Linked DNA regions of Drosophila melanogaster. The protein of the gene in region 2 purifies or fractionates together with the protein of the main gene of each other region. This does not show direct contact. Each region holds a gene or a part of one and is shown on either strand. Other genes may lie near its edges.

Evidence for each region. The genes of interacting proteins can lie anywhere in the genome.
Region 1: the proteins of Rassf (region 2) and Fgop2 purify together in Drosophila melanogaster (affinity purification with western blotting; one study listed by BioGRID). This does not show direct contact.

What each region holds. Positions count from the first base shown.
Region 1 is NT_033779.5:6,942,658-6,947,135, forward strand, and holds Fgop2 (fibroblast growth factor receptor 1 oncogene partner 2), read right to left. Parts: upstream 2,633-4,478; 5' UTR 2,477-2,632; intron 2,413-2,476; 5' UTR 2,340-2,412; coding exon 1,392-2,339; 3' UTR 521-1,391; downstream 1-520. Other genes in the region: ihog (interference hedgehog), read right to left, coding at 3,096-4,478.
Region 2 is NT_033777.3:23,113,496-23,119,838, reverse strand, and holds Rassf (Ras association family member), read left to right. Parts: upstream 1-1,907; 5' UTR 1,908-2,300; coding exon 2,301-2,340; intron 2,341-2,414; coding exon 2,415-2,509; intron 2,510-2,575; coding exon 2,576-2,758; intron 2,759-2,824; coding exon 2,825-3,013; intron 3,014-3,066; coding exon 3,067-4,487; intron 4,488-4,548; coding exon 4,549-4,875; intron 4,876-4,935; coding exon 4,936-5,040; intron 5,041-5,105; coding exon 5,106-5,166; 3' UTR 5,167-5,825; downstream 5,826-6,343. Other genes in the region: CenB1A (centaurin beta 1A), read right to left, coding at 998-1,050.

The DNA.
Region 1 (4,478 bases), on a different chromosome or scaffold from region 2:
CAAGCACGTATGTGCCTATATATTTATATAGCTTTAATATAACCGTCGATTGCCCGAGCACTCGAAATACTTATATAGATGGCTGCCATGCGAACCGGGCGCAGTTCCTTGGCACTTTTTTTTCGGCTGCGAACGCGTTGAAAATCGACGAGAAACTAAATTTAAATTATTTCTGAAAGCTTCAACTACCTACCAGTCGTGCGAGAAAAGTGTTTTCCTCAAGAGAACCGATATTTTGGCGCAGAGAATCGATGAGAGCGATTCGAAAATTATTCAAAAATATTCAAGTCCAAGCCAATTGAAAGTTTCAGCCATAAATCTTTACGGGTATCCATATAATATTACTTTTACACTTCAGGTTCCATATTTATCAAAATTACAAAAATGTATTTGATAGAATTAAAGAAAAAAAACACTGTAACTAATAATAATAATAATTACTTCAATAATATCTATTCAAAAAATTGGTTTTCCTAATTTTCCATATTGATTAATAACCAAATTAAACTTAAACAATACAATAATGAAATTATTTAAAATTTTTTAAACCCCAATATTTTGCCTTTGGAATCTTAAGCTTCTAAAATTATAGTTATTACTGCTGTTTTTTTTTCTCATGGCAGATTCTGTTCAACTTGGTTCATTGTGTAATAAGTTGACTTTTTGAAAATTAACATGACTATATCATAAATCTTCTGCTCGATAACCATTGATAACCATTGTGGCAAATGTTAATTTTAGTGGCTATACTTTATTCATATTTAAACTCCACACAAGTATGTGTGTATATCAAGTTCTGATCAGCCTTACTCGATAAGCAATGAGTCATATCCAATGAATTATTTAACCGCTTCTCTGTTTGGCTGGGATTTAGAATGGCCAAATTTAAAAAGCCTTCTAACAAAAATATTCAAATTCATGGGAGGGGCGCATAATAGATGGGATTCTACTCGTAACATCTTTTGGGAAATAACTTAAGAATTAGTTAGCTTACGGAGTAGCAATCTAAAGCAAAGTTACATCTTATTTAAATACACTACTGAAATACATTTGTATGTTAAATTAAATATGCTCATTCCTTTGGTTATTCCCCGATTTGTATTGGAATTTATTTAGCAAACCATAAAATCGACAGGGTACATTGTACATTACATTTGTGTGGGTGTGAGTGTGTTTACCTCGTTTTAAATAATAAACTTCATTGTTCTCAATGCGTATGGACAATATGTTGAAATTCGTATTATGTATAAATTACTTAGAGATTATCAATCGCTAAGAGCTAATGCAGGTTATGTGGGCCCTCTTCGTGCGCGGCCTGTTTTGTGAGTGGGTGAGTAAATACGATTCAAATGAAGACCAAACGAATCAACAACGTTGCACAGCAGCACCTATCATGTTGCGGGCGCTACTGTCGCCTGATCCTCGACAGATTCGTTAGACGTCGTCGCTGGCGGCGGTGCACTGGTTGTGTTGACTGCAGGTCCGTTATTGTTATCATTCGCCAGCGGCTCTTCCCCCGGCGGCGCCGTCTCCAATGTCACACTTGGTGCTTGTGTTTCACTTTGACTATGCACTGGTGCAGTGTTAAATGAGTTCGTGGTGCCGGCGACTTTAGCCGGTTGCTCCGGACTGCTGTACATCTGGATAACCGAGTTGTTGTTCATGTTTTCCACCGAGGCGCCCGATATGGACAGATCGTCGGCGGAGTCGTCCGCCGTACTGTCCGTTTGCACAGCCTTCTCCTCCAGCAGGTGGTCGCTCTCACGAATCGGTCGCTGCGAGGAGCCGTACTGCTTGGAGATTTGCAGCAGCTCGCGCAGCGTTTCGTTCTCCAGACGCAGCTGGGATATGGTCTGCAGCTCTCGCTGCACGACACCGTCATCTACACTTGCAGCTAGCTGCATCACTGCTGCCATTTCGTTGATCTTCTCGCGCTGCTCCCGGATCACCTGCCACATGCGTTCGTTGTACAGCTCCTTAAAGCTAAACTTGCTATCCAGGACCTTGGAGACGGTGTGCTCGCGATACTTTTGCATCATCAGCTCCATGGCACGCTCGTAGTCCTCAATGAAGATCTTTAGCTCGCGATTCTCTTTGAGTATCTCCGAGCTGTTGATGTTTTGCTGCTGAATGCGATTCACCATGTCCGCGTTGGTCTTGTTGTTCGAAATGCGGTTGAGTGATTCAATGTCGTCCTGATACTGGCGAAGGCTCTCCACCAGCCGATTGTTGTTCTCCGCCTCCTCGAGCAGCGCCGTGCCCAGGGCGTCCAGGTCCTTCACCCGACTGGCCATGCGCTGCGCATCCATTATAATCTGGCCCACGGATAGGTTCGACATCCTGCCCAATTCAGTCCAGTTGCGATTTTTGGATTTGTATTGTTTTCGGGGGCCAGGCCCTCTGCTGCTGGCACTGCGAAAACAAAGGGAACCGCTTAAATTTGTGCACTTTCTGGGGCCTACGAGCAGTGTCTTACGTTCGGTGCGGGTAAGGTGCAGCTTCGTCCCTAGCGTAACAGCTTCATTTGATTTTCCGGCCAAAATATGTAGGAATAGAAACGATTTTAATAGAAATTTTGACGACGACCCAATTATTGGCTGACAGCTTATTAAATCCCAAACGCCATCGGATGTTGCACAAATCCCTAACGCCACTCATTGAATGCGAAAAAATACTGTTTCAACACTTGATATACCGCAAATATACCAAAGATTTAAATTATAATTTTGTTTTTTAACTTTTAGCTTGAGATGTCATTTTTTTGGCTAAATCCTTTATGTTTATGTTAAAAAACTCTTTTAAGGTTAAAAGGTGAAGCTACAAGCTTTATTGTCATTTTTGTATAGGTCATTAAGAAGCTATCAGTACAGATTTTGATCTTATCGCGAAAAATGGAAGACTTAGCGTAGAATGGACATAATGCTATGTTCTTAAACGATCATGCATACATAAATCTAGTTATGTCTATTTAAGTACCTATTTAAGTACAAACAGCAAAGGTTTTGTCATTCAAAGTGGTAGATAAAACAGAGGTAGAGGAATAGCATGGTACATCGGGCGTAGGGATGCACAGACTAAAGATCACGAGATTGCGATTACACGCCAACGCTGTTGAGGCTGCCGGAGGAGAGGTTCTCGGAGCGACTGGACAGACGGGGGCGTTTCATGAGTACACGACCCGGCTTGCCGGGATTTTCGATGGAACCCGCCTCTGCGGATTGATTTAGATTGTTGTTGTTGCCGTTGTTGGAGCCATTGCTGCCGCCAGCACGTTCCAGCGTGCGTTGTGAGCGACGCAGCGAGGAGGAGGACATCCTGCGCAGCGTGGGATCGTAGTCATAGCTCGACGGCCGCTGATAATAGGGCGCATCCTGGTCTGTGTCATTCTTCTCCTCCAGCGCCTGCTGCTGCTGCTGGGCGAGTGGATTCAAGGTTATGTGGATGTGTCGTGTTCGCTGGCGCTGCTTGGTGGGCGAGCAGTTGCCCAGCGGCACAAAGTCATCTCTCAGCTCCGCCATCCGTGGCTTGTTTGGATTGTTTCCCCGGCTTCTGGAATTCCTACGCCGGCAAACACAGAAACAGGTGCTAATCAGAAGCAGAATGAGCACTGCCCCGCCGCCGATTGTTCCCGTCAGCATGGGACTCATATTGAATGTCTCGTTATGACTGGGAGTTGTTGTATCGCGGTCGCCCATTTGCAGTGTTGGCTCCTCTGTGGTGCTGGTTTTGGGACGTTGGGTGCGCCCCTGCTTAAGGGCACTAAATTCGGATGCAGAGGCGGCACTGAAGGACTGCAACTTGAACTCGTACATGGTGGCCGTCTCGAGGGGTGCTATTTTAAAGCTTCTAGCATGGGCTCCTTCAATGGTTGCCTTGAAATATTCCCCTGCCGAGGACGAGGGTCGATAGTAGGCGTAGTAGCCAGTGATCAGGTGTTCATCCGCATCGCTGGCTAGACTCCAGTGCAGCACCACAGCGGTTTCAGAGTATTCCTCGATCTCCAGAAGCTCTGGCACCGGCATCGGATCAAGTGCTGCACCTGGCTGCAGGTAAAATTTCGCCGAGGTATTACTTTCCTTATTGTCATTGTTGGAGTAAACGGCTAGGATGCGGAAACGATAGGTGTGCTGAGGCTTCAGGTCCGTCACCGAAGCCGTGAAGCTCTTGCCCAGCTCGGAGTTCCACTTCGGTTTTCCATACGGTATATTATCGTTGGTTGTCTGCCAGTTCTTGCGCTTGCCAACCATGCGGTACTGAACCTTAAAAATGACAATTGGTAACCCATCGTTTCGGGGCACCATCCAGCGCAACATTACGGATTCATCGCTAAGTCGGGTTACATTTGGAGGAGTCGGTGGATACATCTGCTTCTGCCTGGAACCCTGATTGGGCTTGGGCCTGTGTGTACCCCCCGATTCCCGGGGTTCCTGAATCTGCTTGGGATTCACCTGCAGCAGTGTACCCGCACTGTGCTCACC
Region 2 (6,343 bases):
TTATTTTCTTGGACGTACTCGTTCCAGAGGCTAGCTACATGGTAATTTCGAATGGAGGTCTGTCTATTTCAGCAGTCAATTCATTCTGAGAGTGGCTTTGAAAAGTCGTATTCCGTGATAATATTGCTATCATACACAGTTTTCATTTTAAACTAATGGCTTTCGAAAGCTTCATATATCTTCAAATATGTGTTCGTCATTCAAACGATTGAGCCAAATGCACAATGAGTTGAAGTTTTTGATAAAAAATAAATCGTTTAATTCTACTTAAAACTGGAAACTAGTTTAAGCTAGTTTAAAAAAATGCATAACATTGATACATTTTACTATGGTTGCGATAATATCTGCCTAGTTCTGAAGCAATAGAAATGTCCTACTTTACAGATCCTTAGATTTCTTATTTTTTATATGCATGGCAGAAAAGTTCACATATGATTCACATAATTTATTGTAGTGTACTTCGGTTTCGAAACACCAAGGTCAAGTTGGCACTTCCACAAATGATAAAAGAACCGAAGTGCAGGAGAATCCAAGATAGTCTTGATTTCCTGTTTTCTTTCAAGTGAAGCTGCTGCAGGTGCGAAAAAGTGGGGAAGATGTGATGGGGCTGCTGGGCAAACAAGTTATCGCCGCGTTTGTGCACCGTTTTACGAGGGAAAGCTTTTGTCTTTGGACACGATTAGTGGAGAAGCGGCAATTTGGGTGAAATCTTATCAATCAGCGGCGGGCATTGAAGCGTTCGCGGACGGAGACGAGAGCATCGGCAATTTAATTGCGGAAATAAAGGGGCAGGCAGGCACATTCCACACTGCTGACGGGACAAAGTTTGTTCGATGGATGATTAAGCCGCGTTTTCAGGTGGAGCAGGTGGGGCGGTGTTGGGCTGTATCTGGTTTTGGATAGTAACCAGTCACGCTACATGGAGCAATTCGAATCTCACGCCAAATGCGGCTCAGGATGGGCACACAGTGGGGGCGGGGCTGCAGCTTATATGCACCTGAATCTGGGAGAATCCTTCAGGCACTCCTCGAACTCGATGGTGGCGCGCATTTTGGCCACCACGCAAGCAGCACCTAGACTGCACTGCTGGCTATTTCGCTACGCTAATTGAGGCCCGTGAATCTTTGTTGGCCTGTTGCTGCTGCTCTGCTTTGCTTTGCTTTCCTTGCTGAAGTGGGGATTTCGATGCGCGATTTTCGAGGGCGGCTCTGGGAGAAGCTAATTGCGGGCAGCAGGAGATATGGTGATTAGTCGCATCCTTGGCAATCGACGGCTACACACGTTGAGCACTGGCCCTAATTAGCGAAACTCGCCAATTTACGCGATTCGGGGCCGAATTTACCAAATTTACACAGCGCGCAGAGACAACAAATTAAAACGTCTCACTTTCTACTAGAGCAGATCGGTGTGCCCGCACTCGCAGCGAAAACAAATCTAGCAGCGCGAATGGTCACACACTTTGGCGGGCTTATTTGCTTTTGCTCATATCTTTTAAAATTTTAAATGTATTGAATGCTTAGTGTTTTCCTTGTGCTGATTTTCGTTTTAAAACTCGATTAGTTACGAAGATTTCAATTCAAAGGCATAAAACAACGCACATTGACATTGTCAGCACGGTTTATCAGTGTTGGAAACTTTTGTAGCTAAGAAGAAGCTAATTAGGAACTTAAATTCCCTAAAAGAAGATACAGCCCAAAAAAGATTTGGGTTCTAGCCATAATCAATGTAGATGTATTTAAAGTACAAACGATGACAATTTTAAACACCAAAACAAGCAAATCCGTTTCAAGCTACCGCCAGCCAAGTCAAATCTAGCTACAAAACAGATCAGCTGACAGCACCGCTGGATTTTAGGGTGCCCGCCTTGTGCGACAAGAATCCGCGGCCAGTGCTGCACAAGTGCCATTTTTCATTTCATTGTTCTGTTCTCTTTCTGCTGGTGCTGTTTTGGTTTAAGTGCAATTATCCACACAAGTACGCACCGAAAACCGATGCACCTGCACCGTGCACCAAGTGTGGGAGTGCCCAGTGCCAGTTTCATTTATAAAACTATGAGTTTCGCACGGCAACCAGCGCAGCTGACCGACTGACCGATCAGAGTCTCACGTCCCCCCTCGCCTCATGTGTTTACCCCTTGTCCAGCGTTCTATTTGCGTTTCGTGTCCGCTTTAAATCGCCTCATTTGCATACAACTCGACGGCTTTACGTCACAACTCTTTAAAATCGGCGAAGTAGAGGAGGAGGAGTGAAACACGCCCATTCCCGGAGGAAGCATTAGACCGACCTGTTTGGAATCCAGAATGTGGAAGTGCCACAAGTGCGGCAAACCCGTTTACTTCGGTAATGCACCCACACACGAGCGCATTGCGATCCGTAAATAACTTGTAAATTATATTTATTTATGCCCCGCACAGCGGAACGTAAACAATCGATCGGCTACGATTGGCATCCGGAATGTTTGCGCTGCGAGGAATGCGGCAAACGCTTAAATCCCGGCCAGCATGCTGAGGTAGGAGGATCACCTGTTAGTTAGCCGATCATGTGATCTATATAAAGCCTTTTGTTTTCCTTTCAGCACAAAAGTGTGCCCTACTGCCATGTGCCCTGCTATGGCGCCCTGTTTGGACCCCAGTTGTTTGGCCACGGCACCCGGGTGGAATCGCACAAAAGCTATGGGGTGAAGGGAGCCCAGAAGCCAACCGGAGCTCAGGCCAATGGCCCGCCACTCCCACGTGATCACCTGGAGTCCAAACTTAAGGTGCAGAACGCAATACCCAGACATATCAATATCTCATGACTCACCAAATTCCCTTTTAATGGGCAGGTCTACAACCAATTCTACGACAACAAAAGCCTGGAGATACGTAGTCGTGAGGTCAACAACCGGTTGGTGCTGGAAGGCGCGCTTAGAGTTTACTGGGGCGTGCAGGGAGTGATTCATCTCAAGGAGGACGATGATCAGCGCATCTTAGTGCGCAAAAGGAACTCTTGCCGTGTGTCCAAGGCTGCCAATGTAAGCTGAATCTATAACATAACAAAACGTTATTTATACAATTGTACCCACAGGAAAGCAGTTCGGATAAGGAAAACGAAGCTAGCGAATCGCTGGCTCCGCCCACCACCACCACAGCCGAGGTCGATCAACTATCCACGGATGTTTCCCTTTCCGAGAGCATGACCTTCGACTCCTGTAGCCTGAACGAGATCTCCGAGTTGCCCACAACCCCAGAAGATGCCTCGGCCAACACCACAGCCAACAGCAAAGAGCAGACCAATGGTAATGTGTGCAACGACGACGAGGATACGACCACGACGGACTCATCTGGAACCCTGGTGGAGGCTCCTACTGCCAGCACAAGTTGTGTGTCCAGCACATTGCCTTCGAAGTTGGACCGTCTGGAAAAACTGGATTGGGACGACATAGACGATCTGCTGCAGGTAGAGAGACGTCACAACGACAAGGATCGCATTTATGAAACTATGCCTGTCAAACTGCCGTCGTCGCAATCCTCCAGCGACAGTTCGCCCAGCAAAACATCCACAGAGACCACTACGACCACTGAATCAAGCTCGACTCAATCGGCATCAACAAACACCAGCAGCACGGATGATTTTATGACCGCCACGGGATCGTTGACTGCCAACACCAATACGCAGAATACAACAACGGTGTCTACTACTGAGACCTCTCTGGATAACTTCGAGACTTGCGATGACGCTACCCTGAAGCCTATTGATTTCGAGGACTTTAAGCGTAGTGTCCACCAGGACTATGTAAATGGGGCCAACTCCTTTACGGAGCCCAATGAGGGCACCCTTAAGCGTAATCAACCAATTGATCCCTCTCGCATTCACGACTCCCTTAAGCTCTACGGCGAGAATTCAGCGATGAGCAAAAGCTTTAATTGTGAGCATGCATTGCGGTCAATAGATCCCACTTTAATCAACGACACCATGAATCTGCGCAGTAGTGTGGGCTCTCCTCACTCCGCACAGCGTCAGTACGCCTTACAAAAGAGTGGATCGGCCACAGTAACCAGCAGGGATCAAAAGAAGCCATATCAACAGGGGCGGCAGTTGTTCGAAAAGGGCATCAACCGCTCCAAATCGGGACCCAGCTGTTTTGTGTACTCCGACAGCGATGACGACGACGAGGCCACGCTGCGTCCCCAACGTATGGCCACCATTCGACGCAGCGACATACCTCAGCGGTACATACAAATCCAGATGGACTGTTATCCCAAAGAGAATGTGGCTGCTGCTAGCGAAGGTGAGTCAAGTCGGGCAGATGCTCCATCCATAACCAGTGGTGCAGCGGCCGGCGATGAGCTTACGCAAACCGAGGATTTGTACACTGCAAGCGAGGGCGTTGATGGTCCAGACGGAGATGGATCGGCTGGGTTGCATGTGACGGAAGATGGAGTTGTGCTGAGAAGACCTCCACGCACAGGAGCTTCTGCCATCAAGCGACGAAGTGGCAATCGTCGGTAAGTTACTGAAACTTTTAATGAAGAAATTGTGTTGTAATTCCAACTTCTTAATCAATAGTTCTCGTACCAAGCTGAAACGTCGGTGCTCTATCAATGGTCACTACTACAATCGGGAGACGTCGTTTTTCACGCCGCCCTACGGTTCTCAAATGTCAGTGTGGGTCTCCTCGATGGTGACCACCACTGAGGTTATCAACTTGGTGCTGGAGAAATACAAGGTGGACAGTTCGCCTGGCAATTTTTCACTCTTCATTGTTCGCGACAATGGTGAACAGAAACGTCTCAAGGACGACGAATATCCTTTGATAACGCGCGTCACTTTGGGACCTCATGAGGATGTGGCTCGTATATTTTTAGTGGATTCTCGCAAAACTGATGAAATCAGGCAAGTTATAACACTCCTTTTCAATAGAAGTTTGCTTACGTTTCTTTTGCATCGCTGCAGTAATGAAGTTGCTCAATTTTTGAATTTATCTTTGCCCGAGTGCCGTGCTATTCTGGAGCGCTACGACCAGGAACTGGCCCGCGAAGTGGCCAAAATAAAGGAAAGGTGGGTTTTAAAAAATAATTTTACATCCCAAGACTTTGCATTGAAAGAGAATTACTTTTCCGCAGATACGCCGAATTGCGACGTCGTATTGTCAGTCGCATGGAATCTCTGAAAGTGCATTTGTAAAACGTAAATGAAACCTCTGGCATAAGAGCAATTTTTTATTAGCCATAACATGAATGCGGCCAAAAAAGAAGTGTCGGCAGCAGCACAGCTAATAGTATTCACGTTTTTATACGAGATATATATTTTTATGTAGAATCTAGAGAAAATTACGAACTAGCAAACATTAGGCGCCCAGTGAACAAAAAGCAGCTGCTGCTCGTCGCAAAATACATATACATACATTACGTTTAGGGTTCGATTCTTCCCAGCCGAAACTAACAATCAATTCCAGGCATTTCCATTCGTTTAGAAAGCGTTTAAGACTTGTAACTAACCAAAAAATAATTATTAATCCACAACATTACCATACAGTTTTTTGTTTTATGTTAATAATCAATGTATGTGCTTTATGCAGTCACGTTAAAAGCGTTGTCATTCATGTATCTATTGTACAATGTTTAGCTTTTAAGCCGTGACATGAAGCACAGGTCCTGCTAGTAGCGTGTAGTTGAAAGCCATTTTATCGAGTCATTGAACAAATGTGTGAAAATCAATTTGATTAGAAATCGCAATGCCTGCGAAACAATAAGAATAACTGTGCACATACTTCATATTGCATAACATGGACTTGTTGATTGAAAATCATTTGGAAATCCAATAAAATGAAAATTTTACAACAGAATCGCCGCCTCTTTCGGTGACCAGCCAAGCGGAGTTTAAGGCCCCATGGTCGCCAACAAATTCCGGCAAGTAACGCGTCCCTAGTGCAAAGGGGCGAACCTAAAGGCGGCAGCAGTAGCAGAAAGTGTGAGCCGAATATTCAAAAAAGGCAGCAACCGGCGCCAGCCGTCCGTGCCCAAATGGGGATCAAGTGGAGGTGGACCTCTAGCCCCCCCCCCACACACACACACACACATACACACACTAGGGTGGGGGCAAACCGATGCCCTGTCCTGGCCAAAGCAGCCATCAAAGCACAAGTCAATGATGCCATTATAATAGAGAAACGACGGAGGAGCAGCGCGGAAATAGCGACGAGGACGAAAGTAGGCAAGCACTGGCTCACTCACATAATAAATGCACACCCCACAGCGGCACAGAGTGAGTGTGTGTGCGTGGCTATTAATTTGAAACTGACAGAGCCTACGGGTCTCCATTCCGGCTACAACGTGGTTGGGACTCCGCAACAACTACAGGA